Bombyx mori: one gene and its partners. The protein of the gene in region 4 interacts with the protein of the main gene of each other region in a biochemical or structural test. Links are inferred from orthologs where the notes say so. Each region holds a gene or a part of one and is shown on either strand. Other genes may lie near its edges.

The links.
Region 1: the proteins of calmodulin (region 4) and GTP-binding protein Rit2 interact in a test that uses a peptide from one of them, tested with the Drosophila melanogaster proteins (2 studies listed by BioGRID, with this or other methods). The link is inferred for Bombyx mori from reciprocal best matches to the Drosophila melanogaster genes Cam and Ric.
Region 2: the proteins of calmodulin (region 4) and transient-receptor-potential-like protein interact in a test that uses a peptide from one of them, tested with the Drosophila melanogaster proteins (2 studies listed by BioGRID). The link is inferred for Bombyx mori from reciprocal best matches to the Drosophila melanogaster genes Cam and trpl.
Region 3: the proteins of calmodulin (region 4) and neither inactivation nor afterpotential protein C interact in a test that uses a peptide from one of them, tested with the Drosophila melanogaster proteins (2 studies listed by BioGRID, with this or other methods). The link is inferred for Bombyx mori from reciprocal best matches to the Drosophila melanogaster genes Cam and ninaC.

What each region holds. Positions count from the first base shown.
Region 1 is NC_085125.1:11,327,791-11,336,082, reverse strand, and holds the start of GTP-binding protein Rit2, read left to right. Parts: upstream 1-3,253; 5' UTR 3,254-3,502; coding exon 3,503-3,644; intron 3,645-5,122; coding exon 5,123-5,196; intron 5,197-5,867; coding exon 5,868-6,062; intron 6,063-7,331; coding exon 7,332-7,472; intron 7,473-8,292. Other genes in the region: WD repeat-containing protein 91, read right to left, coding at 585-790, 1,315-1,464, 2,274-2,517.
Region 2 is NC_085120.1:6,389,248-6,397,085, forward strand, and holds part of transient-receptor-potential-like protein, read left to right. Parts: intron 1-3,116; 5' UTR 3,117-3,169; coding exon 3,170-3,196; intron 3,197-3,864; coding exon 3,865-3,989; intron 3,990-5,616; exon of another isoform or gene 5,617-5,866; intron 5,867-6,934; coding exon 6,935-7,172; intron 7,173-7,838. UniProt on the Drosophila melanogaster protein: A light-sensitive calcium channel that is required for inositide-mediated Ca(2+) entry in the retina during phospholipase C (PLC)-mediated phototransduction. Required for vision in the dark and in dim light. Binds calmodulin.
Region 3 is NC_085110.1:4,591,309-4,599,939, forward strand, and holds the start of neither inactivation nor afterpotential protein C, read left to right. Parts: upstream 1-3,706; 5' UTR 3,707-3,768; intron 3,769-4,286; 5' UTR 4,287-4,323; coding exon 4,324-4,614; intron 4,615-4,732; coding exon 4,733-4,837; intron 4,838-6,066; coding exon 6,067-6,446; intron 6,447-6,541; coding exon 6,542-6,632; intron 6,633-6,704; coding exon 6,705-6,986; intron 6,987-7,101; coding exon 7,102-7,490; intron 7,491-7,558; coding exon 7,559-8,107; intron 8,108-8,183; coding exon 8,184-8,476; intron 8,477-8,556; coding exon 8,557-8,631. UniProt on the Drosophila melanogaster protein: Required for photoreceptor cell function. The ninaC proteins combines putative serine/threonine-protein kinase and myosin activities. Essential for the expression and stability of the rtp protein in the photoreceptors.
Region 4 is NC_085129.1:641,139-649,645, reverse strand, and holds the start of calmodulin, read right to left. Parts: upstream 4,438-8,507; 5' UTR 4,359-4,437; coding exon 4,356-4,358; exon of another isoform or gene 3,781-4,355; coding exon of another isoform or gene 3,778-3,780; intron 668-3,777; exon of another isoform or gene 293-667; coding exon of another isoform or gene 278-292; intron 8-277; coding exon 1-7. UniProt on the Drosophila melanogaster protein: Calmodulin mediates the control of a large number of enzymes, ion channels and other proteins by Ca(2+). Among the enzymes to be stimulated by the calmodulin-Ca(2+) complex are a number of protein kinases and phosphatases.

The DNA of each region.
Region 1 (8,292 bases), on a different chromosome or scaffold from region 4:
CAATAATTTAGACCGAGCTTCTATTTCGACCTTCTATCTCAACGTGGGTAGTAATATTCACGTTATAACGTCTACGGGCACTGGTAACCACTTTGTACCGGGTGGGCTGTGAGGTCATTCACCTATCAACTTAGATAAATAAATAAAAGTTCTCCAAGTATAGCAATTTTTACTGCTTGAATTAAGGCCAAATCTTACACTTTGCATAAATTTGTTTATTACGGTTTGCGTGGTATGGACGTGTGATGCGTAGAGAGGATGCATGTGACTAGGAGATGTACGGAAATGGTAGTTCAAGTTAGAGAGGGAAGATGTTGACCGAAGAAGACATGGATGGAGTGTGTGAATGACAATATGAGAGAAAGAGAGAGAGAGAGAGAAAGAGGAGTGAGTGTTGAGATGATGGCTGATAGAAGAGAATGGAATAGAAAAATTCGCTGTGCCGACCCCATCTAGTGGGTTAAGGTGGACAAAGAAGGAAAAGAAGATTATATTAATTTGGTTTACAAATACCTATGATAGGATGATCATAGTGTATGATGATTCAGTAATGACATCAATTACCTTTTTAATTAATCAATTACCTTTCCACTGACCGCAGCTAACTTATCCTGTAGTTTTTTTACAAGTATTGCATCACTTTCATAGCTTGTTAGTGTTGGTTGTGGCATACATTGGAACACTGTTGCCAGTAAATTGTGAAGAGATACCAGCACACTGTCCTGCCATGCTCTAGTGAAATACAAACTAAATGAGGGATTTTCTTCCGGTTTCTGGATGTAGGGGAACGCTGAAAAATAATGCTTGTATATTTTAGATGTAAATTACAGAGAAATTTATGTTGGAATATGAAGAAATATTTTTGTATGAGATAAAACTTTATTCATAGGATTCCTAATTAATAAATGCATAATTTTTAATATTGAGCTCAGAGGACCATAAAGCATGGTAGGGCCAAAAGGAAAAAAAAATTGTGTCAGATACATAGACATTGCTGAGACACGAAAAACGTACGACAGTATAATATTATTTTACGATAATAATAGTAAGGGGAGATGAATATGCTAAGTTACTATTATAATTGATTTTATAAATTAAAATTTCAAACAAAGTAAGTTTCGAATATCATTAATAGCAAATTGTACTGGTTGATACCAATAAAATATAAAATGGCCCTGACGGGCTTGCTTTACGATTATTTTACGATACAGAAATCTTCTTCCCTCTTAAGCAGATGATGATATATGGCTGCATTACTATTAATATATTAATGAATAATTTATTGTATCAAATAATTATTATATGAAATCTTACTGAACCACTCCTTCCATTCATTCTGTCCTTGTAATTCTGGCAACATTTTATTAAAGAAATCTGTTATCTTTTCATTTCTTATTAAACTGGTATTCTGTGCAGCTGTCACTAAGTACAGTTTATATAAACTATATTCTAACTTGCGAATAGCTGAAATAAAATTACTAAATAAGTATTTAATAGAACTTCATTTTGGTGCAAGCTATAGGTCCTGATTGATCTTACTTGGGATCTTAGACTATACAAAGTATGATATTGCAGACACCAATATTATCTACTCTAAAAGAAATTGGGCAGCACAGATGCTCTGCATAGTTATTTATTTATTTATTTATTTTTCATGCAATATGGTATCGCTCAGTAGAGCAGGAACTGGGCATCTTGGGCATGATGTGGGAAGAGCTAGAACAGACTGCCTAAGACCAATGCAAATGGAAGAATTTGATTTGAGCACTACACCCCAGCAGAGGGTAATAAAAAAAAGAAGAAGAATATAGTAGAAGAATATTGCACAGGTTTTCTTAGCAACGTAATGCACAGCAATGTCTAACTAAAATTATTATGTTTATAATTATCTTTTAATAAAGGCCAACTAAATACAATATTATCTGTGTTCTTAATATTACGTACAGCAATGAAAATATTTATGCTAAATTTGCTCTAGAGACAACTATTTAATTTTATAACTTTCACTTTTGTACTATACTGGAAGAGTCTTACATATTTCATAATAAGCATAAGTTAATTAGATTACTGTACTGTATTGTAGTTTAAAAATTGACTTAGGACTCATGTCTCAAGGTGGGTGGAAGCATTGACGCGTTTGATGTCTCTGAGCCCCGGTGACCACTTAACACCGGGTGGGCTGTGAGCTCGGCCACTCGTCTAAGCAACAAAAATAAAATTGTACATTTGTTGTGTCCTACAAGTATTCTTAAACTTTATGAAAGGGCACTCACCAGGTTGTACGTGTATTTCTAATTTCGTAAAAATTAAAGAATCTAAATGTGACCAATATTCCTTTAAGCCGTTGAGATCGGAAACATTAATGAAATGCATAATTTGTTCAATAATTTTGTCAACTCTAAAGCCTTTGTCTTTGTCAGCTTTTAAATCGTTATCAAATGCTTTTAGAGTACTTGCAAAACCTCTAAACAATAAATATTCTCTGACCAACTCGTCCACGAATTGTACATGTGCCATATTTTGACCTAAGCCCGATATTCCTATAAAATTTAAGTAAATGAATCGAATAGTACTGTAGGAAATTAATAAACATGAATAATATTATTAAAAATAAATTACAAACAGTAAGCAGCTGTTTTTGACACCAAAGTTCTGTCTGTGAGTCACAATTTCTTCTCTTGTTAAGTAGACAATGGGAACCTCATCCATACAGTGTAATCTTGGGCTTCAAAGCGAAAGGCATGCTATTGCATGAAAAGGGAAAGAATAAAATTAATTAAATCTAATTAAATAAACTGAGATAAGAAAATACCATATATGTTCGATGAGATGAACTATGATAACGTCTCAGCAAAACGCTAGCAAGTAACCGAGTAGAAGTCCTCTGAACTTTTGTTTCATATTCCCAATTTTGTACACTTTCATACATCCTAAAAGGCTGATGAGAAACCATTAGTACACTTTTAAATAAAGCTTTCCAAATAACAAATAAAAATATTCGACATATTAAACAGAAATTGTAAATTGTATGCATCTCACTGAAAAGTAGGCTAGCATTTTGTTCTAATTTTTTTACGATTAAGTATCTCTTTTGCGGTATCATCATTAAGAGTTTAGAGTTTCGGCATTGTTATATGATGAAAATATTTAAGCCGTCATTTTCAAATCCTATAGAAAAAAAACAAAAAATCATTAATCATTCATGTCAATCAATGACAATCAGAGATAAAAAACAATGACAATTAAATGTCAATTGTAAATTTGTCAAAGTCAATTGCTCCCAATTTTCAATCAGCTGTCGGTTTTGTCGTGATAAATGACTAGTAACAAAATTAAACAAAATGCGTTGTGGTGAATGAAAGTGTATTTGTTCCGTGGGCTGCTGGTCGAATAGCTAAGCTTCAGAGCGTTAGTTGTATCGCGGGCTGCTCTATGCGGTGTGCGATGGCGTTGCGTGGGGAGTAGGGGCGGGCGCGGTTCGGAGGAGCAGGCATGCGGCGGTATGGCGGGCGAGGCTGCGGGCACGTCGCGAGGGTTGCGCGTATACAAGATCGTGGTACTGGGCGACGGCGGGGTCGGCAAGTCTGCGGTCACACTCCAGTTCGTCAGCCACAGTTTTTTGGACTACCATGACCCAACCATAGGTATTAGCGAAAATAACAAAAATAATCAATATCCATTAAATAACAAAAAAATTCAAGGGCTTTAGTGATCAGTTTAAGAAATTGCAAATTAAACAGTCACCAGTCTCTATTGTTAATATACTTATTAATATAAGGTTACTATGTAATGTGATTGCTAAAAAAATTTATTCCAGATAAAGGCCAGCAAAAACTTTAATTATTATGTAAAAAAATAGTTTTTCCTTGCCGTCAATGAGTTGATGCGTGTTTACATAGTATGAAATACAGCCCCATATTAATGTAGCTACCATGTTATATTGACTATTCTTTATGCACCATTTAGAGGCCATCTACCATTTGAACTGGAATGCATGATTGTTTCATTGCAATAATAGACAGCATGTTAGCTTATGTCATACCACCTCAATACATTTTCTGTATGTGGCATATGTCATAGCACCAATCACTTCAGTATCTCACCATTCAAGTTGATTTTCAACTATTTTAATAATATACTAGAACACTAGTGTAATATTTGGTTGCCCTTATTTTAAACAGAGAACATGAACAAATTTCACTGGGAGAGATAGTTTAATTCGTACTAAACTTAAAAAAATGCCAAATGTTCATTTTTTTAATTTCAGACTTAAAGTGAAAATGTTAGACACTCTATTTAATTATCCTCTGTTATAATAGTAATAATAATAGAGAACGAGACATCCAGACATCTGGCCTCAAACTAAAATTATGTGTACTATGGGAAATTGAGATGATTTTTATTCTATACAGTACGCTGTCGTAAGACATTCGACCGTAGTTTTGAGTACTTAAATTTAAGTTTCAATAATACACATATAGATAATACACACAAAGACATCATACATAATATATTAAATACATACAACTATAATAGAAATTGTAATTTTATATGAAAAAAAAGGAGTAGAAAGGATAATGAGCACCTTAAATATTTTAAGTTGAATACACTGTTAAAAAAACGAATCAAAGTACTGTGCACAGCGACATCAATAGATAAATACATTTTATAATAATACTCATGCTACTAAAATTTTTTTGTCACTGAATATGTTTTGTGTATCTACTGGAAAAACTATACAGTGTAAACTCTATGTAATGTCACTCAATTTAATGACAAATTCATAAAATGTTGAAACCACTTGGCTTTGGTTGGTTAAGCTGGCCTTCCATATAATGAAACAGTCTCTATAGAATTATACCCATTTTCAATAACCACAAAATTAGTAATTAAAATAAAGTAATTATAGAAGTTTTGGAAGCAGCTAAATTATTGGGAATGTACTTCTTTTATCACCAAGATGCCTCAATATTGCAAGATATAAATGCCAGTAGGTAAAAAATGTCACAAAATTACTGTTGCAGTCCATTCAGTGTTGTTGTATAGGGCTTACACTGTAAAAGTTTTGTAACACTGTAAAATTGTTATTTAAAATAATTTTAAATATTACTGTGATTCTCAGAGGACTCCTATCAACAACAAGCAGTAATTGATGGAGAACCAGCACTGCTGGACATTCTGGATACAGCTGGTCAGGTAATTACAATTTCTATTACCAAACACATATTATGACATAGTTTAATTACTTTTCTTTTACCACGACACTAAGAATTGCTTTGAAACAATATATCAATATCTCATTTGTATCTCTGTATTTGTATCTATAAATAATGATATTTAAACATAAGAATATTATAATATAGAATAATGTAATAATATCAAAATATATAAATTTCGAAGTCGGCGTGGCTTAAAGCATAAGACGTATGGTGCATTCCTATCTAGCAATGCAACAGTGTTTGAATACCGCAGGCAAGTGCGAATTTTCCTATTGAAATATATTACATATTTAACAAATGTTCACAATTTACTTCCTCAGTGGACGAATAACATCGTGTAATAAAAATCAAACCTGCAAATTTACAATTTGCATAGTTACTGGTGGCAGGACGTCTTATAAGTCCGCACGGGTAGGTACCACCGCGCTGCCTATTTCTGCCGTGAAGAAGTAATGCGTTTCGGTTTGAAGGGTGGGGTAGCCGTTGTAACTATACTGAGACCTTAGAACTTATATCTCAAGGTGGGTGGCGCATTTACGTTGCGGATGTCCATGGGCTCCAGTAACCACTTAACACCAGGTGGGCTGTGAGCTCGTCCACCCATCTAAGCAATAAAAAAAAGCCAATAAAAGCGTATTAAAAACCCAGGTGGAGTTCACTGCGATGCGGGAGCAGTACATGCGTTGCGGGGAAGGCTTTGTGCTGTGCTACTCGGTGACGGACCGGCGATCGTTCCGCGCTGCCGCCGAGTACAGGAGGCTGCTGGCGCAGGCGCGTCCCTCCGAGAGGCTCCCACTCGTGCTGGTTGGAAACAAACTTGACCTAGCTCCGAGACTTAGACAGGTGAATATTAAATATCCACGTATTATACACGTATTATTCACGTATTATCCGCGTATTATCCACGTATTATCCACGTATTATCCACGTATTATCCACGTGTTATTCATGTATTATCCACGTATTGTCCACGTATTATCCACGTATTATCTACGTATTATCCACGTATTATCCATGTATTATCCACGTATTACCCACGTATATTATGTACGTAGAAACTTTGTAAAACGTTGTTTTTTTTCGCTTAATACGCGACATTTATTTTAGTAATTAAAGATTCGTTTCATTTGGTATTAGCAAAAAAAATTGGATGTTTTTAATTGAACTTTATTTAACCCCTTCATTGCGGAACAGGCCCATCTTGAATTCCGCGGTACTTTCAGCTAGTGCGGACCGATTATTTCAAGTTTTTGTTAGAATTCGACAACTATATACTACAAATTGTATACAGTATGTTTACACAAAGTTTATAGCATTTTAATCTACCTTAGTGCTGGTGGGTTGAGAAAGACCTACCAGGCACTGGTGGGAATATCGTTGGGGCCGCATCGACCCGCCAACGACCCCATTGAAGGTTTATGATTTTACTGGCCGCAGCCAACGTGTTAAGTTTACTCCATTCAGATAGTTGACGAAGTTGTTTTTTTTAGTTTTTTTTCAAAATTTTCGTTTTTTAAATGGCTCTCCTGTAAAGTTCAAAAAATGTCGCTGAAACTGAATTGCCTTTCAAACCTTGATATACTATCGATATCGGTATTGAAACGTAAGAAAGAGACCGTAAAAGTAATTTTAATGTTGGCAATTATTTAGGAATAATATTGCACCTAGCACGTACAGAGACTTTTTGGCGGGAACGCGAGGAGTGAAGTTGTGTGATTTGTTTTGTTTTGTCTATTTAGTGTTTCTTCAGGTTTCAATGTGTAATAACGGTGGTTTATTAACTGTTTAGTAGCTGTGAAAGTGCACGAATGTGGGAAAATGAAACAAAGCTGCTGGACGTAACAAAAAGTCCACTGAAAAAATCTCAGTAAATGACCACCATTTTACTGAGATTACATTTCATCCCATATCGTCTCGTCTTATTTCATTTAATTTCAATTGATTAATGGCTCAAACTAATAATTTTCATTTCATTTAATTTCACTCCATATTATCATTTTTCATAAAAATAAGAATATAAATTAAAATAAAACACGACCTAAAGGTCTTAGTTACCAGGTCATAAAGTCCCTTAAAAAAAGCACGGGCAAAAAACAAATTGTTTATGTTAAGGTAACGACCGAGGAAGGCAAGGAGCTGGCCACACAGCTGGGGTGTCCGTTCTACGAGACTTCGGCGGCGCTAAGGCACTTCGTCGATGACGCATTCCACGCACTCGTCCGAGAGATACGGCGCCTAGAGAGACAGAGACAGGTGAATCCTTTTTTTTTTTCGTACCTAATCTGTTGGCCTTGAGAGGCCATTTCAGCGTAACCCTAACAACTAGGTGAGTTCACGGGGCTCAAACCTGACGACGTTGATAACACTAACCCTAGCAAGAGCCGTGCTTTGCAGAATCTACCATCGTATCGGAAACGCGACCCACTGAGAAGATCCGGCGAGAAACTCAGTGGGCTATGTCTATGGGTTAGTTTACTCAGTGCTTGAGGTACCTAAAAGCACCGTTATTGGATCAAGAGGATCCGAAATGACGTGTTTTGGGCGACGTCGACTGTTTACAATTCGGTCCGCAGGATCGGTAATGTGAATCGATAATTAACTCGTTGGGTGACAATGGTGAAATTTATCTCGTGTTTTCTTTATTATATCGAGGGCTGAAGACTATTTGGTTTAAGCGACATTTAGCTTAATACGCGACATTTTTCTTTGTAATTAAAGGTGCGTTTTAGTTGGGATTACCATCAATAGTTCGATGTTTTTAGAATAGAAGCTAGAATAAAACTGAGGGAGGTATTCGAAAACATGATAAATATCGAGGGGTGAAAGGCTATTTGATTCAAGCGACATTTTTGCAAATTTTAGTCTTTAAACCATTTAAAGATTAAAATTTAGAAAAACTATCATAACAAAAGAGATATTTGAATGTGTTAAGCTTAATCGAAGTTCAATTAAAAACACCGAGTTGTTGATGCTAATACCAAATAAAACGGACCTTTAATTGCAAAGATAAATTTACGCTGATGTCGCGTATTAAGCGAAATGTCGCTAGCTTTACACACCTCTATATATTATA
Region 2 (7,838 bases), on a different chromosome or scaffold from region 4:
ATCTCTTTCGGTAAAACTCCATATGTCTGGGTGAAAATCTGAACTTTCCTCCTTATTTCTCAAGGAGGACGGCGTCATTTCACTGTCAGTCTTCACACTCATGTAAAACGTGAACTCAAATAAAACGCGAAAAAAAAGAGAATGTTAAAATACAAAATGGCATTATTTGAATTATTTTCAATTATAAAAGATCAATTTTCTTGACCTTGACCTTGAACTTCAAATATTTCATTTCTTTATGTATATTAACATGGGCATATTATTCGTGATAGCATTTACGTGTTAAGTTGATATTCTCTGCTTTTTTTTTCGGGCCGGGGTCCTAACCTCATATGAGGTCCCCGCGCCTAGGGGGGGCGCGGGGTCTGTGGAACTTGACGATCTGCAAGGTGGCGAGAGCAGACCGCGGGCCCAAAGAATTTTAGGGCCCTACCGCACTAAACGACTCCCCTACACTCTTACACCCGACGTCCGATCTCCGTCCGGGGTCAGAACCCGGTTAGAGTAGAGGAGCTCCCGCGGTCAACACTAGAACCAGACTTGCGGCGGCACCCCGAGGACGCCCGACCGACAGGTCGTCGACGACCAACGACGCCGGTCTCCGCGGTACGGCGATATTCTCCGCTAACTCAATAACCGTATTCAATTTTAAATTTAACTTACTTGCTAAAACATAGGAGACATTGAATGTTCCACGCTATTTAAATATTTTAGCGGGAAATCGCTTGTCAATTACTTTTCAACAACGTTAAAATTCCATGTTTGGAAAAAAAATGAAAAATTGGGAAATCGGAGGCTTTCCTTATATCAGCTTTTTATCGTAATCGCGTTTCTCTTCTTCTTGAAGCCTATGAAAGTTGGTTCTCGTCAACGACCACTGAGCAAAAGTTTGCTAGGTAAGTAGGACGACTGGGTATTACTGGGGCAAAGACATCTAGTACCTCCAGTTTCGATAACCTAATCAAATTACAAGCTGACGACTGTGAGGTAATCGGCATGTCATAAAGGATTATTGCCTTTGCGAGGCTTCAGTTTACGAACGGCCTCCCTGTGTAGGTTTCTAGCAAAATTGTTTTAAATTCCAAGTCAGAATGAACAATTAGGTAATTATCACGATTTTATATGCCTTATCAGGGTTATTCTGTAATTAAATATGAGTAAGTAAGCTTTCTAGGGCTGTTGTATCTGAAGGATAAAAATAATTGGACGCATCGGGAATTCGAAAAATACACTTCAAGTTAAGTAAATGTGAAAATGAGTAGGTACTACAATCATATCTTTTTCTGCCGCGAATTAGTCATTTGGGTTTGAAGGCTGGGACAGCTATTATGCAAATCAACCTCATGTCTCGTAATGAGGTGTGAAATTCACGGTGTGGTATTTAACCATTTAACACCTGTCGGCCGTGAGCTGGTTGACCACGAAATAAAAATAAGACATGCCTCTTCCTTCACTTCCCTCTAGAAAACCAATAGACCTTTGTCCAACAGTGTGAAACTTTAACAGTAATTCATCATCATCATAGTCTGTACTCTTGGCAGAGCAGTCATAGTCATGTGGAATCCTTGTTTATTAAAGCCTTGAAAGTTGTTCTTCATAGTTCGCGAACTGAGGCTTGAGGCACGCACTCATTATGTAAGGTTTTGGTAAGGATTTTCACTTGATAAGTCCAGTGCATTAGGCCAGGGCTTAATCACGAGATCTTTTTCCGTTGACCCTACCCTTAACATTTAACATTATATAATAATATATAATAATAATAGCTAGTAGTCTAATAATAATATATGTATAGCTAGCTATACTTAGTCTGGCCATAAATACTGTTACAATTAAAAATAAACAAAATGTTACATTTGAATTTGGAATCTGTCATTTTTATATGATTGCTTATTGAGTTTTCTCATTTTGGCGCCAATACATTGCACAATATTTTGCCATATTAAAATGGAGTGGGGTGATAAGGAGAACCGAATCGCTGTGATTGCATTACACAAAGTAGGTATGGAGCCAAATGCAATTTTTAAAACTCTCCATACGCTTGGTATTAGTAAAATGTTTGTGTACCGGGCTATTAATAGGTGCAATAAGACCTCCTCTGTTTGTGACAGAAAAAAATCTTGCCGTCCACGTATTGTTCGTACGAAAAAGGTGGTCAAACAGTAAGGGAAAGAATTCGAAGAAATCCTGTCCGAAAGCAAAAGATTTTATCTCGGGAGATGAAGATAGCACCTAGGTGCGTTCTAGAACCATGTCGCGTGTTTTAAAAGATGACTTAGGACTTGCAGCCTATAAAAGACGTACTGGTCATTTCTTAACTGATAATTTAAAAGAGAATAGGGTGGTAAAAACGAAACAACTACCAGCAAGACGCGGCGCCAGCTCATAAAGATCGGTCTACACAGTCTTGGTTGGAAACGAACGTTTCGGACTTCATCAGAGCTGAAGACTGGCCGTCGTCTAGTCCCGATCTTAATCCGCTGGATTATGATTTATGATCAATTTTAGAGAGTACGGCTTGCTCTAAACGCCATAATAATTTGGAGTCCCTAAAACAATCCGTACGATTGGCAGTGAAAAATTTTCCCATGGAAAGAGTGCGTGCTTCTATTGATAACTGGCCTCAACGTTTAAAGGACTGTATTGCAGCCAATGGAGACCACTTCGAATAAGCTTTTTATACTTTAAATTGTTTTATATTTATGTATTAAACGAACACACTGTAAAAGTAATAAATGTTTTTGCAATAGATTTTTTTTTCCTTTGTCTCAGTATTTATAGCAAGACTAGGTAATCGATACGTAAATCGCGCAACATTCGCGCTTCTACAATTTCATGTAAGAATTATACAATGTAATAAATATAAAAAAATATGCAATCAACTCTAAACTTAAAACTAAAAACCTTACAAAATAACAATAATAATAATAATTTAATATATTACTAAAGGGACTCTCCCTTTAGGCAAGATTCCGAAGATACTGACAGCGTTGCCCTTTTGAATAGCTAGACTAATTCTTTGTCCAAGGTAGCTGCTAGTAATATATTATATTAATATAATATAATAATTAATAAAAAAGAAGGGAGATAGTATTTAACATTACTTAAATACATGACAGATCGCCTGGGGGACGGACGCTGCTTCGGCGACCACTCGAAGTAAACCATCAAAATGGCCGAGAAGAAGGATTTGGAAGCCGTAAGTAATAAAACAAATATCTTTTTAAACCAATACAACACCCGACTTACTCGTATCGAGCGATGTTTGTGTGGATACCAATTCTTCTAACAAGATATTCATCTAGAATGTGCTACGAACAAGTTCCGGAAATTTTACACAGTTTAATTGATTACAGAATATGTTAGAGGAAGTCTGAAAGTGGCACCTGTGACAGAGAAGCTGAGGAGTACGCGTTTGGGATGATATGGACATGTGATGAGACAAAATGAAAATGAGGTTGGTAAGAGAGTATTAACTATGAATGTGGAAGGATATAGAGGAAGAGGTAGACCTAAGAAGAAATTGATAGATTGTGTGAAAGATGATATGGGTAAGAGGGGAGTGAACGAAGAAATGATATATGATAGAAGAGTATGGAAGGAAAAAACATGTTGCGCCGACCCCAGGTGACTGGGAGAAGGGCAGGATAATGATGATGAATGATGAAGTTCGATTTTCCTTCCTTTTATTGTAACTATTTTGGTTAACAATAGACTTCGGCTTGTAAAAATTATTGTCAACCAAAAACTTCATGAGGTCGTAGTTTTATAGAACATTCTACTTCAAATCACTAGGGTTGTGGATTATAATAATCCGTAATAAACTAGACGCGCCTTAATATGCTTTTAATATGAAATATGTGATAGGGCGACCCTGAATTGGAATGCGTCCGGAAACCAATGCCGTTACCGGTGCTCCCAAAACCACTTACTTTGGAAGAAAAGAAGTATTTGCTGGCAGTCGAGAGAGGAGATATGGCAAATGTGAGAAGGTTAGGTCAAATCAATATTTTTAGTTTAAAATTTTTTTCTACGTCTCAACGGTGACAGCTCTGAATGTGGTGCTAACTATTTATCAGAATCCCAAAGAAACGAATCTCTTGGAAATAGAAAATGAACCACTATAAATAAACTCCCATCGCTGTTTGTCTCTGACAACCCAAAATTCTATATTAACATTATATAGATAGCCCTGTCTTTTACATTTTCACTCCCAAACCGTTGAAGTGATCTTCATGAAACTCCGTGTGGAAAACAGCTTTAATGCTGGGAAACAATATTTAGGCTACCTATGATACTCTTGTTCAATATGAATCTCACCCGTGCGACATAAATCACAAATCACGGGAACGTATCTTCGGGAAAGGTAGTTCTTGATAAATACGTAGGTACGTGTGGTCATTTTCTTGGCGATCTTTCAAGACCTCAGTCACCTTATTCAGACAATATCCGCATCGCAATATATCACTTGTTCAGTTCATTCAATCAGTAGTAATGGAGAGACATTTACGATTTTGATTACTTTATGCGACTTAGACTTTAAATATTTGTTTCAATTAACGAATAATACTTCTAATACGAGAAGTTAGAAAACAAATGCATTAAAAATTCGTTTTATTTGAACATTAATGCTAACGTAAATTGTTTCTAGTAATAAGCTTTACGGATTATTTTAATCCAATTGTTTGAATCAAATGTAATAAAATTAGTCCAAGTTAGTAGTTATGTTAAAAGCCAAGATTCAACAACAACGTGTACCTAGAAACTATATAATTTAACTGGCTGCTACCCGCGGCTTCGTTCGCGTGGTCAAGGGAAATGTCAGTGTAGTTTCCCGTAGGAGTTAGATGTTTTTTCGGGATAAAAATAGCCTATGTCACTGACGTGACTTATAGCTATTACTTTTAGAAATCATATCAATCTCTTGCTTCGTTCATTGCGAAACTAGATGATTTTTTTGATAACGCCATCCTGTTGTGTCTTTAAAGCGGTTAGTTGCCCTCAATTAAGAAAAATAGTATTATTATTCACCAATAGATGTCGGGAAGAGTTGATTATTGAAAACACGAATAAAACAACATTTTCTGAAAATAAATCGTAGCTAGATCGATTTATCGCCCCCGAAATCCCCTGTATACTAAATTTTATGAAAATCGTTGGAGCCGTTTCCGAGATTCAGATTATATACAAATTGCTCGTTTAAATGTATAAAATAAAGGTATAAGATAACAACAAATAAACACACTTTGTTTTTAATGCTTAGATGTGTGGACGAGCTCACAGCCCACCTGGTGTTAAGTGGTTACTGGAGCCCATAGACATCTACAACGTAAATGCGCCACACACCTTGAGATATAGTTCTAAGGTCTCAGTATAGTCACAACGGCTGCCCCACCCTTCAAACCGAAACGCATTACTGCTTCACGGCAGAAATAGGCGGGGTGGTGGTACCCACCCGCGTGGACTCACAAGAGGTCCTACCACCAGTAAAACACACTTTCGTTTACATTTACACTTACGTAAAACTATTTTAATTTCGTTGGTTTAATCTCGTTTTTTTTTGTCATTTAATTATTTCTGACGTTTTGAATATATAACAGTTGACGTAGTCACGACCAAGACACAAGTCGTCACTTTAAGTCGACTTTTGAAAATTGTTTTTTTTTCCTATCTGTTCGCTGGTAACTTAAGGGGCTATTCCAGCTACTCACGAACGAGTAGATGAGCTCACAGGCTCAAACTGAAAGAATTTGTAACACTACTCCTATCAAGAGCAGTGCGTCGCAGAATATACCACCGAAACGGAATCGCGACCCACTGAGAAGATCTAGCGCGAAACTCATTGGACTTGAATAACATAGTAATTAAAGTATGACACTGACATTTTTGTCGCCATTTAAAAAAAAATCGATTAACTAATTTAACTACTAACAATTTTAACTTAAGATATTACGAAATGTTCATAAGTTTGATTTCATTCAGCTTCTACAGTATACGTGAGGAGATACCCTACTACCCTATTATTGGCCAGTAAATCCTTGGACAAACAAAAAACAGAAAAGAAAAGCAATTTTCTAAAAAAATCTTACGTTGCCGATTGAAACCGTCATTCAATTACTTTCAAAAGACAAAAATAAACAATCGTGTATTACCGTCGATCTCTTTTTAATTAAATCGACCTTGTACGAAAATATTTCGAGAAAACGTCTTTGGCCTTAAGTTTTAATGGTATTTTCTTTAACGCCTATATTTTTAACTGTGAATCCTAAAATGAACACACGTTTGTCACCTTCGCCTTCGGCTCGGGTCGTAGTTTTACACGCGGTAGGAAATGTCCAACTTTTCTCCCTTGGTGCACATACTATTTTTTCTCCTATCAGGCCGAAAGTTCGTGGAGTACTGAGCCGGGGTCCAGGGGCGAAGCCCTGGCAGGGGTAGGGGGGGCGGAGCCCCCCGACTCATAAAAAAACAATTTAACTGTTTTTTAATTTTTAAATTAACTACTAATAATTAAATAAGAACTGTCGATGAACTCATCTTTGTTTAATACTTCACTATTAAATTTTATTGCCTTTTGTTTATTTCACTTTTATACTAAACACAATATTGCAAATTACCCGAGCACAACAATGGAGGAGAATTTTAGATGCGTGAGAGCAGACGTAGACACTAACGCGCATGCGCACTTGTACCCAGGAAGAAAAAGTAACACTTTCTTTCCTGTACAGCAGGAGGAAAACCGAACTTTCGGCGTAGGTAGGAGAATAAAAAATTATCCGTGTAGCTGGCCTTTTGATTTTATGTTGATATCGTCTAATTTACATATTATATTTCTATTGTACATATTATATTATGCATATAAATTTCAAACTATTATAATATATTTTTTATATAATTATGTATTTTGATTGCTTTAAAATGATTTTGTTTTACACAGATTACTCCAAAAAGGCCACCGCAAAAAACACATCGACATCAATTGCGTAGACTCTCTCGGTCGCGGGGCTTTGACCTTGTCAATTGACGGGGAGAACTTAGAGATGGTGGAACTCCTCGTCATCATGGGAGTGGAAACAAGAGACGCTTTGCTGCAAGCAATCAACGCGGAGTTTGTTGAAGCAGTTGAATTGTTACTAGAGCATGAAGAGTTAATTCACAAAGACGGTGAACCATACGTAAGACCGATATATTGTACATATGAATTTTATTATTTCTTAAAAAAAATTTTTTTTGTCGCTCATTACCCGCACTGAAAAATAAAATTTAAAATTTCCATAGTTATAGTTGCTACAGCTAAATTACATATGTAATCAATCAATCAGTCTGCTTTTAAAATTACAAGTACTGCAAAATAAATTTTAATTATTTTAACAGAAACTACATCTTGCCAATCAAAGTTTCTAATATTGAAATATGTTCTAATACGTGATAATAACTCCTGATTATCCAACAAAGCTAGAATGTCAGCTTAAAAATTGGGGAACCTGTCATCGCAATATCTTACATATTATGTATCTTAAGTTGGACATCTGCGTTGTTACTGAAATGGCTTACAAAACTCGTGGCTTTAAATGATTTGTGATATTTAGTTGTAAGTGATTTCCGGAACTCAAACACCACATGATTCATGCCCAAATTGAAATAGATGGTCGAAGTGTCTATACAATAATCAGTATGAAATTACGGTTATCCTCTTATTCAAACGGTGGTATAAGAACGTTCTGTAAAACTAAACAGGCAGTTAGTCTACCGAACAAAAACACCCGGTCGATAAAAGATTTCATGTCTGAAGTAATTTACTATTGACTGATAGAATTGTGATTTTCACACTAAGCTGTTAC
Region 3 (8,631 bases), on a different chromosome or scaffold from region 4:
AGAGCAGTGCTTCGCGTAATCTACTACTGGATAGGAATCGTGACCCTCTGAGAAGATCCGGCGAGAAACTCAGTGGGCCGTGTCTATGGGAATAAACATTAGCCAACACTAAGCTGATATTCCCCGCTTGTCAACAACAAACTATTTTCCGCTACGTAATGGGTGCCGTAAATATACTATCTTCAAAATTGACGTTAAATCAATTAGTGAGCGCTAAGTATTTATTTATTTATAGATGGGTGAACATGCTTACGGCCCGCCTGATGTGAAGTACTTACCAGAGCTGATAGACATAACTATACTTGAGACCTTACAACTTATATCGCAAGGTGGGTGGCGCATTTACGTTGTAGAAGTCCATGGGCTCCAGTAACCACTTAACACCAGGTGGGCCCTGAGCTCGTCCACCCATCTAAGCTATAAAAAAAAAACAAAAAAAAATGAGTGTCTCCACCCACCTTGATACATGATGCTTAAGTATCAAATAAATAATTATAGCGGTTGCATCATTTAAGTAACACATGACCGAATCGCCGTGTATAGATATGAAAGAGGGATATCGATCCTAATCCTCAAACGACTCAATACGAAAATCAATTAATCAAATGAATCAAAAGTATTTTATTCAATTAAGCTATTTATAGGGGCTTTTAATTCATGCAGTTTCAATACTGAGAAGGATCGACAAGAGACTTATTACTATTACTGGTGGTAGGACCTCTTTTGAGTTCGCATGGGTAGGTACCACCGCCCTGCTTATTTCTGAGGTGAAGCAGTAATGCGTTTCGGTTTGAAGGGTGGGGCAGCCGAGGTAACTATACTTGAGACCTTAGAACTTATATCTCAAGGTGGGTGGCGCATTTACATTCTAAGTATGTTCTAAGTATGTATATTCTACAGTATATGGGCTCCAGTAACCACTTAACACCAGGTGGGCTGTGAGCTCGTCCACCCATCTAAGCAATAAAAAAATATAAAAAAAGACTCATAGCCTCTATGTTTTTTTAAAAGAAATGTTAAAAATGTAAACAGATTTTTGTTATATTATTAAATCAGCACAAGTCACACCTTTAGAATTATAGAGACACAACCCAAGAAATGTGTTTTTTGGAAAACATCGATTTTCAAACCTACAAAAGACGTAGAGGAAGAGGACGGAGTGAAAGAGACCGATGAATAGCTTTCTTTGTCCCTTTTTAAGCTGATAGTGGTGATTTGGGTATTATGAGTCGATGAGAAAGGTTGTTATAGGTCCATTTTTAATTAAAATTTAAATACAAAAATTTCAAACTGCGTTTCTGTAATTCTAAAAGTACGTATGGACTTTACCGAGTGCTGGCGTATAACAAAAACACTGCACTTATTCAAAGAAATACTTCAAGCCGTCTGTCTAGAAGCGCACTAAATGTTTGGTAGCAACTTCATTATTATTCCGCTTAATTTGACTCATTGAGTTGAGTGCCTCTGGTATACTACTTCATCGCTTCGTGTTATAAGTCAAGCAATATTTGAAGAACTTTTATGGCTACCTTAACTTATTTTTCGGAATTAAATAAAATGCAACTTATTTTCGGGAGGACTGTTATTTTGTTAAATGCATGAATGTTATAGTAAGTTTTCCAATAGAGCGTTAGAATAATAATCCGAATTAATAATAAAATACCACATCTATTTATAAGCTGGTGGTAGGACCTCTTGGGAGTCCGCACGGGTAGGTACCACCACCCCACCTATTTCCGCCGTGAAGCAGTAATGCGTTTCGGTTCGAAGGGTGAGGTAGCCGTTGTAACTATACTGAGACCTTAGAACTTACATCTCAAAGTGGGTGGCGCATTTACGTGGTAGGTGTCTATGGGCTCCAGTAACCACTTAACACCAGGTGGGCTGTGAGCTCGTCCACTCAGCTAAGCAATAAAAAAAAATAAAAACTTCATAAGCTGCCTTTTATTATATTTTCTGCTTTTAAAATGCTTTATTGAGAAATAAAAGAGTTTTTTTTCATAAAATAAATAACGCTACAATCACCTTAATTTTGTACAGTAGTAATGTTTTGATGTGTTTAAATTTATTAGTTTTTTGTTAATTCGGCTCGTACGCAATGATGTATCTTTGAATTCAATAAACATTTTTAATTATTTTTGCATTTTTTTATGTATCGCTTAGATGGGTGAACGAGCTCACAGACCACCTGGTGTTAAGTGGTTACTGGTGCCCATCGACATCTACACCGTAAATGCGCCATCCATCTTGAGATATAAGTTCTACGGCCTCAGTATAGTTACAACGGTTGCCCCACCCTTCAAACCGAAACGCATTACTGTTCACGGCAGATATGGGCGGGGTGGTGGTACCTACCCGTGCGGACTCACAAGAGGTCCTACCACCAATAAGAACCATCATGAAACTTGACAATTCAGTGTTCTTCTCACGACAGTATCATTCAAAGACAGATACATTATGTTAGAGCATGTGCAGAAAAGGAAAAGTAGAGAACAGTTGGAGGCTGTTGATATGATGGTGTTCTGATGACGTCAAAGAAACCAGAGACTGACATACCAGGGGCTGTCAGGCGAGCATAGTTACTTCTGACCTGAACTGGAAGAATACGTGTTGATCATTGTATTATCGTCGTCTTGCAGAAACGACATTTAGGACCAAGGGCGGATCCAGCTTTGGCGCCAGGAGGGGGTCACATAGTCGTGGGCATGTTAAGAACTTATAATTTAATTTTGATAACAATAGATAATAATTAAATCATGATGTTCTTCAATTAGTCCAAGTTAGTTCAAGTCGTGGAACTAGCTCAGGGGGGGGGGTCATGACCCCCATGACCCCCCACTGGATCCGCCGTTGTTTAGGACCGACGCAGAGAAATTGAAATTGTACATAAATAACTGTACAAAATAGGCTTAAGAATTTTTGTAACGCATTCGGCTTGGCTACAATAAGCAAAAATCTAATCCATCTTAAAATGTAAAGAACCATTTGAAGTATGCCTTCAAGCGTAGTTATTGGTCTGATGAATGGATTACATTAGAATGACGGGTGTCCCGGATAGCACGGCATCGTAAGCAAATTCAATTGGTATGGCATTTCACGTCATGAGCAAACATATATATAGAAACAAGTTGCGTTTTTTTCTTAATTTTGTTTTCGGAATCAGATTCAGTAGAATTCAAGTACGTTTTTTTATAAACTTGCTGAATAAATTGCACTACACGTGAAGCGTTTAAGACGAAGGTTCGAGAACTGTTTCTCAGAGAGTTAGCATAATCATCTAATTGATAATATTTGTTTATATATATATATTTATTTAAGTAGGAGTATTTGTATCTATAAATATTTTGTATGTTACATATACACATATGTTTAATATCACCTTCACCCTACACCTACCAAGGTTCATCTCTGCACTCCCCTAAGGTAGACTGTTAGAGAATGCCTATGGCATTAAGTCCGCCTTTATACTTTCTAGTATATGAAGTTATAAATAAATAAAAATAAATAAATCAAATTGAAACCTTTGTTAAAATCTAATAGAAAAACAATTAATTCGCTTAGATCGGATTACGAAGTACGAAATGGAACTCCAATTATGAGTAATTAGACGATACGGAGGTCACAGTGCCCTAATAACATTATGAGATTAGGCTCGTTCCTAATTTACGAAGCCCCTGCACTTATGCGAGTTCGGAACGTGGTTGCCCACTTGTTCTTGTGGAAGGAGTTCAGGCTAGACGTGTTAGTCTGCTGTGGTCTGCTGCAACCGTAAGTATTTTTTTATTGTTATCATCAGCTCGAGAATCTAACGGTTCCCGGAATCTAGACCACCTCGAGACATAGTTAAAATCTAAATTTCATTAGAATAACAAACAATAGATGGAAAACTCTCTATATTAAGAAAGAGATGTCATATGCAAGGGTAACTAGTTTGTTTGTGGAAATAAATTAAAAACTCTATAAAGCTTTTTTTTAAATCGGGTTAAAAATTCAGAACCTCAAACATTGATCCAAAGAAATTTTAACTCTTTATACTCGCATTACCTTTACAGGTTAGTGTGGACACATACAAAAATAACTAGAACATTAATGTAGGTAGCGGTCCAATTGTTTTAAATTGATTAAGCTACTATTTTGATAAAAGTTCAAATTTCAACAACAAATTCAAGATGTTTATGATCTTATTCTGCTAACAATAAATAATCCGTTGTATCTTAGATTTATTTAGATTTTTATATTGACGTTACCTTCGAGGACTTGTTTTTAATTTTTAGCACCATTTTCAGAGATATTCTGCAAAGGTATCTTCATGCGCCATCCAAAATGAAAGACGGTCTCAACTTATCGTCCTTGCAAAATCCTTTGGAACGTTACAAACTAGACACTAAACTAGGTTCTGGCATATTTGGGGTAGTTTACAAGGCTACCGATACACAGGCGGCTGGAAAATCCGTTGCTGTTAAAATACAAAAATATACCGATAAAAATGAGGCACACATTCAAAAGGAATACAAAATACTTCGAGATTTCACTACTCATCTTAATCTTATCGACTTTTACGGAGTGTTCTGCGAGAGAGTCGATAATATAAACAAAATATGGTTTGTTCTTGAAGTGAGTTTTACATATTTAATATTAAACAACAAGTCACATTACTTTGAATAATAATCAGAATAAAATTTTAGATAACAAGTTATATAAAGAATTAATCGACTTTATCTTGTCTTTTAAGCTGTGCGAAAACGGATCGGTCATCGATATTGTCAGAAAGCTGAATACGGCAGAAAGAAAAATGTCCGAAGAACACATAGCTTACATCTTAAAATATACAATAAAGGTAAGACCATATATGAATGACTATAAACATGTCCCTCGTCACATTCTACTCGAGATGGCTGTTTACAAAACAAAGGGCCTGCCAGTCCAGCTTTCAACCGTTGAATCAATTGGGGGTACTTTGAATGCAAACTCAATTGTTCTCGGATTTGTGTCCCGAAGGTTTATGTTGGCCTCGTGACGTCAAGTAAAATATTGCCCTCCGATCATCCGCGTACATTGAAATACAATCTACAGCCATTATTTAAAATGCATGCCGCTTTATTTGATGTGATTGGCGACGGAACAGTCGAAGTTGTCGATGCGAATGTCGGAGAACGCCCGACAACACCGTGATGGCCCCCCATCGCGGCGCATCGCTCAATTATCGTAAATAATGCTCGCACACACAAGATATACGGACCTCTATCGCAGTAGCCGATGATCTCTTTAACTACTATCTGCTTGTGGATTTCCTTCCCTATGCACAAGGCGTAAAGGTTTGTTGTTACCGACGTCTCTGGCTCTAATGTTTTTGGATACCGTTAAACGCGCATTATCTTTATGCAAGCCACTTGGCCTGCAATACTGATGCTCGGTTTCGTTCGAAAGATCCTTGTCGTATATCTAGGCACGTTACATCTCTCGTGAGTTCTTGATTTTTAGGTAACAAAAGTGGAAGCTTTTTGAAAATGCATTAATTACTTTGATATTTTTTCGTTTCAAACTGGGTATCCGATTTTTTTCTAAATAATGATTAATGACTCGTTTACAATTCTGATACTAATTCGTATTTTAAGTAGTTTTCTCGATTCGTAACATTTATCACATTCACTCACGTTTCTGTTGGGTAATTGATTCATCACAGTACTTACGGGTACTCTAAACAAGTGACAAGATATCGGCGTATCGTCTACAATTAGACCACATAGTAGAATTTAATGTTGAGAAAAAGACGAGCGACCACCTCCCTGAGAACACCGAGAGGTAAATAATCGTAATGAACGCATTAAGAAAACTGATACATCAGACTTGAGGGCTCCGACATGCCGCCACTGACAGCGCTCTGGAGCGATACATATGCAAATAAGCTCAATGAATACGAGGGGCGTTCACCACTTGACTGACGCTGACATTAGTATCGCCAACCTGTCTCGGCCAGGGTATGGGGGGCGGTCGGTCAATCACTTCAATGTCCGACGGGTGTCGACTTCTCCGATTGTCTTAATCAATCTTTGTATCGATCTCTAGGCCCTCGTTTATCTGCACGAGAACAAAGTGATGCATCGGAACATAAGGTGTAGCAATATTTTAATCACAAAAGACGGTGAAGTTAAACTGTCTGATTTTGGACTGTCGTGTAAATTAAGCGGAACACTTGATAAGAGTAAAACGAATGTTGGTTCTCCGAGTTGGATGGCGCCCGAAGTGGTGACTGGCGGAGACGACGGTTACGGCAACAGGGTCGACGTTTGGGCCTTGGGCATAACTACTATAGAGATGGCAGACGGAAAAGCCCCTTACCAGGACATGCATCCGACACGCGCATTGTTTCAAATAGTAAGATGCCCTCCGCCGACCATTTCGAAGCCTTCAATGTGGTCGAACGATATCAACGATTTCATTTCTGAGTAAGTAGCTGCTAACTAATTTGATTCCTTGATTTGTTAAGTTTGCGGCGATACGCGAAATTTAGAGTGACCACAATGTAAGCAACTGTTTTAAGGTGTCTCGAAAAAAATCCGGAACATCGACCTTTCATAATGGAACTGGAAGAGCATCCGTTTATTCTGTCCGTTCCTGAGAACGATTATCACGTGAGTCAATGACCTCAGTTTGGCTTTTAAGGTACTGGAAATAGAAATTATTTAAGACAATCTTTCTCACAGCTCTCAACAGAATTGAAGATACTCGCGAAAGAACTAAGTGGCAAGGTATCGCCAGATAAAACACCAGAACGGATAATAAGAGATGGCTTATTGACAACTGAAGGGAACCCTGAAGCCGAAACGATGCAAGTTGAGGATCTTGCCGCTCTAGAAATATTGACTGAGGAAAACTTACTCAATGAGTTGCAAATAAAATTGATGAAAGGTTCATTTATGTCTTTCGTCGGTGACATTCTACTTATTCTCAACCCCAACACCGATGATGATATTTATAACGAAAACGTAAGAACTCCTTTCCGATATCAAATAAAGACTTCAAAATTACGTTACTTAGTTGATGTTGAAATTCACATCTACATAAAAATCACATTTGAAATTCCCATTTTGTTTTCTACAGCATCACAAGAAGTATGAGTGCAAATCAAGATCAGATAATGAGCCGCACATATTCGCGGTAGCCGATGGCGCTTACCAAGACGCACTTCATCATAACGAACCACAGCACATCGTGTTCTCTGGAGAAAGCAAATCCGGCAAAACTACGAACATGTTACACGCTCTGTCACATTTGACTCATTTAGGAGCGATGAAGAATAACACAGCAGATAGAATTCGTAAAGCAACTAGTATTATCCAAGCAGCTATTTCTGCCGCTACACCCATAAATGCACATTGCACCAGGGGTATTTTTCAAGTTCAAGTGACATACGGAAGCTCGGGAAAACTGAGCGGCGCTATCTTTTGGTTGTATCAATTAGAAAAGTGGCGAATCTCATCAACAGACATGTAGGTTACGGTCGGTAAGTAGATTGGTAAATTTTGTGATTTAAACTCACAATTTTTTAACGTTCCAGGACCCACGCTAACTTCGACTTAATTTATTATTTCTACGATGCGATGGAAGCGGGAAATCGATTAGATGAACTCTGTTTAGACAAAAACAGAAAACATAGATACTTACGGATATCAGATGAACCTGAAAAAGAATTAAAAGGCGTTAGAGAAAGTGTCGAAAATAACGTTCAAAATTATAAAAATATCATTGAGAACCTCACCGCAGTCGATTGGGAAGAAGAGGACATAGGATTTTTTGAAACAGTTTTAGCGTCGATTTTAGTTCTCGGTAATGTCAGATTCAAAGAAGGAAGGAATGGTTCAACCGAAATTGAAAATCCGGAGGAGGCTAAGAGGGTAGCGAAGCTATTGTCACTGGATGAAACAAAATTCCTTTGGGCTTTATTAAATTACTGTCTTATCGAAAGCGGGACTGCAGTAAAAAGAAAACATACTACAGATGAAGCGAGAGATGCTAGGGACACATTAGCAGGCACTTTATATAAAAGACTCATTGACTGGATGATAAATTTAATTAATTCGAAACTCTCCTTTATGAGATCTGTCTTGTAAGTAATCTTAATCTCTTATTAACATTTCCAGTTCACGTTTTCTAACATACATTAACACAATGTTCTGTTATAGTGGTGATAAATATTCAGTCAGCTTATTGGATATGTTCGGTTTTGAATGCTATCACAGAAATCGACTAGAGCAATTGATAGTAAATACAACAAATGAACAAATACAGTTCCTTTATAACCAAAGAATTTTCGCTTGGGAAATGCAAGAAGCCACAGAAGAAGGTATCGCAATGCCAGAACTAAGATTTTATGACAACAAAAATTCTGTGGATCAACTCATGGGCAGACCTTTAGGCTTGTTTTATGTATTGGACGAAGCGAGTAGAACTAGTAGTGGACAGGAATTCATCATGAGTAAGTAAAAATCCCATTAATGCTGTTATTATACGTAAGTTGAAAACTATACCAAACTTTGCTTTCACGTATCGCTCTAGGTACAATAAGGACAACGTGTAAAGGACCGTACATCAAATTATCCGGCAGTCATGAATTCAGTGTAGCTCACTATA
Region 4 (8,507 bases):
GATCCGCCTGCAATATTTATGAGCGTTTTAAAACACTATTTATTTTTAATCAAATTTGCGTATATATTTTATCATAAAACGAATAAAAAACAAACAATAGGTAGTAAAAATCTATCGCAAATTGAAGGCAGCCACTTCCTAACTGAAAAAAAACACAACTTTACAAAACATTCAATCACAAAACCTCAATTGAATCAAATTAAAAAAAAGAACTGCATGATTCAACGCCACAGTAAAGGACATTAAAAAAAACTGTCAAGCAGAAGCCTATACGTACAGCCATGACGACCATAGTAGACGAGGATTCGCAACAGAAGACCGGCAGGCAGACTGGCAAAGTGCCAACAAAACTCTGCCGATAAGATACCAGGCAGAGATTATGTATAATTACCTACTCAAACTGACACGTCACAATGCGGCACAGATAAATATAACATACTGCATTGGAACATTTATCATTATGGCTTGCGATAATGTTTATTGTTATTGATATAAACTTTTTAGACCGAATTTATAATTTAGCCTAAATCGTTTCGCGCTATAATTAGTAATACGATGGCACAAGCCACAATCGTGGATCCACAAGTTCCGATAAAGTTTGATTCAAATAGATTCCTGAAATTGCAAAATAACCTCATTTGGCACAAAATGTTGTTATCAAACATTTGGATCCGAGCCTACATGGAAGTAAGCCTTATGAAAAATATTATTTGAAATAATTATGCGATTAGTCTCGGTAAGATATATATTATGATGTTCCACGACCGCACATTTCAATCATACCATTAAAATTACAACTTTTGTCGTATAAACTAACACTTGTACATGTTTTGCATGTACATAAAATATAATCATACTCTCAGGCAGAATAGTCTCTTTAAAGTTTATTTTGATAACAATATCATTTTGAAACGTATTCAACATATAGATCCGCTGATTCATGTTTAATTGATCCGAATAATGCACGGCTGTATTGTACAGCACTTAAAGTACTTCACGGCCAACTGCCATTCGACTAGGCGCCTGGCATTCTTGAGGTGTACTGAGAACAGCCTTACTTACCTAAGTAATTAGTGGAAGTAGAGAGTATTGTAGGCCTATACCAATATGTAAAGTTATAGTGTTATCTCAACAACGAAGCGAAGCACTAATGCGTTCGTTTGGAATCGATCAATACAATTGAAACCTCTGCATTTTATCCCTCATAATGGGTAGAGAGAATTTAAGCGGTTACTGAATCCACACACGGATGAAACAAGATTTAAGTCCTAGTTACTTTGAACTAACACATATCGACTATTTAAAACGCAATGCAAGATTATTTAACATTAGAAATATGCACACGATGATAGAACCGCGTATAGGCGGATTTAGAAAATACCCCACCATCAAAGTATTGACAGTTTACTACTATTTTTATTTATTACTGGTGGTAGGACCTCTTGTGAGTCCGCGCGGGTGGGTACCACCACTCTGCCTATTTCTGCCGTGAAGCAGTAATGCGTTTCGGTTTGAAGGGTGGGGCAGCCGTTGTAACTATAATTGAGACCTTAGAACTTATATCTCAAGGTGGGTGGCGCATTTACGTTGTGGATGTCTATGGGCTCCAGTAACTACTTAACGCCAGGTGGGCTGTGAGCTCGTCCACCCATCTAAGCAATAATAATAAAAAAATTTGGTTGTTGTGGGCCGAAAGTTTGATGATTAGTCAAGTCATGGTCTGTGGGCGAAAAGCAAGTGCCAAGCAAAATTCAAATATAGACACATTGCTAAGAGCCAGTTTTTTTCCAGGAAAATCAAGAAGCTCCATGTATGTCCAATCTCGAATTCACGGCCGCTTAAATGGGATACTACTGTACTAAGAGCAATATATTTTTAATTTAACTATGTTTTAGTTATCAATAACATGAATAACTAAACAAATAAATCTAAAAAATATAGTGATGCACAGTCACTAACTTGTTCACATTGACACAGTAAAAATAAAACTAATATTACTTGATATAACTATGTTGTATTCTACACAGTAGGCAATAGGTATGAAATACCTAAGTTATGATTCAACGTAGGAACACAAATGTATGAGGCATAAATTAACATTTTTTGTACAATTCCGATACAACTACACTTTTTAATGTTGAATTATTATTTAGATTCAGCTTGTTAGAGACAATAATCATTTGAGCTGAAATATCACTCCCTTTTTAATAAATTAATTTTAATACATAAACATGCTTAATGGATTCTTTTTTATTAGATGTGAATAGTCTCTTTAAGCACTATCGGAGGGTACCAAAATGATGTTAGCCTAAGAATCGCTTAAGCTACATTTGACAGGGCCACAAGAATTTATTATCTTAATTTTAGTTCCAATTGTAGTTAGTAGGTAAATATTACACTATCATGTCACTTGAACATTTATTTAAATATGGATAATTTGGCCTTAGCTATTTTAGAAAAGAATATTGCACATATATTGCCCTTTTTACATGATTTGTATTATCAGATATTCTAATGTAGTGAGAAACATAGCTTACAGCCCACAATGTCCTACATATTAACTGGAGAGTTGTATGAGAATGCCTCCGCTAAGCCTCGACACATTGAAAGACCTCTATTAATTATACCAATAGGTGCTAACAATGGTTCTCATAATGTATGATAGAATGTGCTAAACTCTTTCATATTTTCTTTTTCCCAACTCAATTAAATTGAGCTTCAGATTAATCTCAACTCCTTGGATTTTCAAACACATTAGAAAAAAATATAATTTCAGATATATACAAAAATATTTAACTTAAACATATGTTTACACTTTAGGTGTTATAATAATATATTAACTTAATTATACCAAGTTTATCCTTAGTTGAGAATGCATATTTAGCATTTATCAATGTTTACCACCAGTTTATTATTTATTATACTCAAGCTAACATTTCATGACTTCATTTTATTGAGTAGCACAGTTATTACTAGAACAATGGATGTAAAAAAATAGTTAAAGATTAGAATAAGATTAAAAAGCAGATTCTTTCTGTATGAATTTATATACATTCATAGCCATGATCTGCGAACTTAGAACAATAAATAAATCATAACAAAAACTTTGAATGGCTGCAGGGAAAATATCACCATTATACCCCACATACCCAATCCCCATTATTTTACTGGCAAAAAACTTTCAATGAATTTTTTTAAACACGAGTATGAGTATTCTCCGCTGAAATAAAATAGAAAAAATAATGGCTAGGGATTTAGTCAGGAACAAACTGTAATACTGTAGGCAATAGGGACTACACCGATCCTTGTGATTTCAAGTATTCATATCGAAGCTTGAAAGGCAAACGTGACTAAGCGATAATGCGTGAACTTTACAGTAGACTAATTTAAAGTTGAAATACCTGAAAACAAAATTTATTTTAATGAATCTAGCTGTATGATTGAAATGATTTTAATAGACCTACAAATTTATTTTTCGTTGCGCACTGAATATGGTTATTGCTTATCATTTATGTACAAAGCAGTTATAGTCGCTTAGTCAAGTTTGCCTTTCAAGCGTCGATTTATTCTTAATTTCTGTAACTTCAAGCAAAGGAAATTTTGGTGTAAGACACCAGAATTCAGCTTTTAAAATATAACAAGAGCATGTTAAACTTTTTCGAAAAAAAAAAGAAAAAGAATTACAGCTGTAGTTTTGGTTTGATAAACAAAAACTTATTTACATGATTGTTACTATAAGTGGCACCGTACGACGATGAAAGCGACAAGTTTAGTTACCATTATGGAATTTCACAGCAGATGATATGTTATGTACAACAACACGGTCTAACGAAAAGAGTTTTACGTAGGTACAATATCAGATAATGACGATGAGTCAACGAGCGTTTGACAGTTGCGCCCGGCGATCGATCCTCATAACAGCGGCCGCGGCCTTTCGACAATATGCCCAAACTACAAAGCCATTTGTTTTCTTTCCAACGACGTCCCTGCGCCATTTCAACCGACATTAACGGCCTACTGCAAATTAAAGAACGTAATTTCACCGGCACCACCTATTAGATTATGGCGACCGTTGTTTCTGCATAGGCTCGTTTTTAAATATCGCAAAATCTAAAGCTTTCAACACTGCTTTGAAGTTTATCTATTTCGAAAGCCTCGCTGTGAGGCTTCAGTTACGCCTTCTGATACTTCTCGAATCCGCAATGCGGTAAAAAAAACGGCCATCACAATAATATAATGGAGGCCGTCATCACTATAAACACCGATGCATAACTTCTCCGAAATACGACCCGGAAACTGTTCCTCGTGATCTTCTGAAGGCACTCCCGACACCTTTCAATAGAAATAGCACTCACCATTGTAGATTAACTTGGATTATCTGGAGCTACACTAAAAAATCACAGACTACGCCGCAAAAGCGACCGCACGGACCGACGGCTGAAACGATACTGCCGCCCTCACTCGCGCGAGTGGCCTCGCTGAGAAACTCGGGATCGCGGTTCGGATCGAGCTCGGCCGCGAATCGTTCCGAATCGACTACTCGATTCGTCGCACTGTCATATCCGTCTTTCGTTCACGAGAAGGTTAGTTTCGCAAGCTGCAGGGCGGAAACGGTCTACACAATGATTATCCTCGGAACGTCCAAGTCCATGTTTCGGGACGCACAACACAGGATTAAATTTGCTCTGCAAAGGATAGTCGGTTTTATAAGGGGCGGGTGCGGCGGCGTAGAGCGCGAACCGGCGCGCGCCGATTGGCCGCCGCGCACCTGCAATGCGTCACTGCGGCCGCGAGCCCCACGCCAGCGAGAGCGGCGCCCGCCCGTGCCCGCTCCCGAGCGCCGCTGCCCCAGATCCGCGCCGCAGTGCCGCCCGCAGGCGCCGCTAACGAGATAACACGGGCTTCCCGACGCCGCGCCCCCACACACGCATTCCTACTGAAAGTAAACGTTGCCCTATCTTGTCGCAATATCATCTTCCGTATGATTCGCACACAATCGGAATGCCGGAAATAATAAAAAATTAAAAAACAAAAAAACAATTACCATAATTTCCTACCAATTAATATAGACAATTGAATTATGATAGTACCTACCAAAGTAATCTCTTTTATTTAAAGATACGTAAAAGCAGACTAAAAATATGAACTTGTAGATTGTTTATGATCGCTTTATTGTTTACGTGTTTATTGACCCTGAAAAATCAAACAAAGGCTTCAGGTTCGATTTAGTATCTTAAATATTTTTAGCATCTGGGGCTCTAGGTATATTTGTTCTCGTCTCGTGTATATATTTCCAGTATACATAATACAAGAAAAACCTAGCTTGACACTGTTATTTGAGGATTTTTATTTACAATGTGTGCAATGAGATGTAATTAAAAACACACGTCGGAAATATTTATGAAGCATTCATTGTAAGAACCCCGTAAGATTAGTACTAGTCACAAAGAGATTCTTATTACATTGTAGAAGATATTATAGAAACGAAAATGAATGTAATGAAAGGCATGCAGATTATAACTTTAATTTATCATTTCCATAAAAAGATTTTTTGTAGCTAAAGGGGCAATCACGAATTCTGTACTGTAAAACCTTATATTTAAATAATGTTCATTTCATCCTTTCAGATTAGATGGTTTTAAAGTTATAATATTATAATATTAAAAATTTTAACTCATTTTAAGAGAAAAAATTAATTGTCAATTTTATTAAACAATCGATTGTCGATTGTAAGTATCGATTTTATGCAAGTCAAGAAACACATCACCATTGTTTAGATGACAGTACTACCATCTGTGATTGAGTTATAGAACTAAATTGAAAAATGAAAGTTTTCCGCTAAATTGTCACAAGCTCCGTGGGCATTGTTTAATTAAAATTTACTTTTTACATTGTGAACATTAAAATACTTTGTTCGCACTTGAAGTCATCATCTAACTCGTATTTGTTTAATTATTAATTTTTTTTAGTAAATTGTTTTAAAGTTTCTTTGCGTGTATGTAAGGTTTTTGTCATTAAAATACAATATTTATGTATTAATAAAGGATTGGATTTTTTTTTTTTTTGTTGCTTAGATGGGTGGACGAGCTCACAGCCCACCTGGTGTTAAGTGGTTACTGGAGCCCATAGACATCCACAACGTAAATGCGCCACCCACCTTGAGATACAAGTTCTAAGGTCTCAAGTATAGTTACAACGGCTGCCCCACCCTTCAAACCGAAACGCATTACTGCTTCACGGCAGAAATAGGCAGGGTGGTGGTACCCACCCGCGCGGACTCACAATGTGATTTTTGGTATTTCAATATTGGCAACGATAAATGCAGTAGTGACTACCACTCACGATCTGTGTGTTTAGTGCAAGTATTTTAACGTTTTCGATAGCGTAAAAGTTAAGTCAAATTTGTATGCAGTTGGAATAGCGCGCCTAGCGGCATACGTTCCAACTCCATCTAAAGTTGAGTTAACTTTTACGCTATCGAGAAAGTTAAAAAGCTCGCACTAAGCACACTGGTGGATTATCAGATGCTTTACTTTTATACCAACACAGAATGAAAAATAAATTTACCCAACATATTCGAAATTTTTCATAGTTTTTCTAGATAAGACTTTATAATAAAAACACATTTGTATACAGTAAATAATGCTACTACAATAATGATATTATTGTTATCAATTATATAATTATACTACAGTAATACAATACAATAGTTTAATTATTGTAGTACTACATACATAACAACTACATTTTTATTTGTATCTAATTAATAATGAATATTAAAATAATAATATAATAATATGTTCGTTGTTTGTGCTCCATCCTTAGGTAGCGTCTTTTACTCGATGGCTTGTCAGGCTTGAGCCCCGCGAACTCACCTACTAGTTGGATGAATCTAGAATAACGCCTCGAGGCTACTAGAACACGTAGGAAAAAAAATATCGATGGTCTTGAAATTTTGTACATCTATTTATTGCACTTCCAGGCTTAGTATACTCCTATGATACGGTTCAAACTATATAGTATTGTATATGCTAGAGAAGCGTATATCTTGTTTCTACTAGTATTTTTTATTGTTTAGATGTATGAACGAGCTCACGGCCCGGCTGGTGTATTAGTAACAAAATGGAATTATTCTGGAATGTTCGATTGCATTCCGTTGAAATTTTAATTTGATCGATCGCTGAGGTTTTATACCGCTCGTCCTGTTAGGGGTGTACGTGCTGGTGTTTATCCGACTGTCATGACCGCTGACCGACTATCGTACTACGATGATATCTTTACTCGATTCATGGTCGACGTCAACAAATTTTTACTAGCTAACATGAGCCTACGGGCTAGTTCCACCCTCCTGTCCATTTCCTCCACAAAACACTGTGTGTTCCGGTTGGGAGTGTGGGATAGCCGTTATTCAATACAACGGATACTTGATGACGGAGGCTTCACGTCTACAGGTGGATGGCGGCAGGTATGCTGTGATGCCCATGAGGCCTGGCCGCTGCTAACACCGCGTGGCCCTTGCAATATTACGAGGAGCTGTCAAATAACTCGCCACGAATAACGATGCACGATCTTTATGTTTTAAGTAGGTTCATAATAATTTTAATTATGTTGTTTAAAAAAAAAACGTTTTGCCATACGTTTAGATGGCGTGTTCTTGAGTGAGTAATCCCATTAATTTGTTAGTGTAATTAGTGAGAGTGGGGTGCGGTTTCGGCTGCCAGTGTCATTCGGGTTCTAATAATTGCTTTAGGCGCAAACTACACTTTTAATTTTATTATGTGTGACGAACGTCACAGGGTTGTGGTAGAAATAGATTATTCATTAAAGATCCTTTGTTTTGTTTATATTAATATTATAAGACTCTTGCATTGCTATCAGTTTGGGATAGTACTGTTATTCTATCAATACAGATAAGCCTTCAATCTTACGTGTCAGGACGTGCTGAGTGTTCACGTAATCTTGAACAAAAACATGCACCAATCATTTATTATTTTTAATTTATCGTATGTTTTACATTATAAATTAAAATTGCATTATTCAACATTAAAATTTGTACTTTTGCTAGAAACATCGAAAAATTCTAAATAAAAAAGATGTTTTATGATTTTATTTTGAGTTGTTTTCAGTATTTCGGTTAAGCACAGATCCCTTCCCTATTTATTAGAGCAATTTTCAATAATGAGTTTAAGCACAGTGGTGACGGAACAAAGACATTTCGTAATATTGACGTTATGTTTGAAGAGGACACAAGTATTCAACACACTACGGACAATAGCGGTTCTTTGTGGAATCTTAGACTTGTAAACAGAAGCACGAGTAGATACCATTTAGGAAAGGAAGACAAAGAAAATATCGTCGAATTAAAGGCAATGAACCTTTATTAAAATAACTACGTAATAAAACCAAAATAATTTGTTATACGGCTTAATTTATTTTACCCATAAAAAAAAACTGGTTTGCTTCAAAACCTAATATTATAATAAAAAGGCGTTCTTCGGGAATTAGCA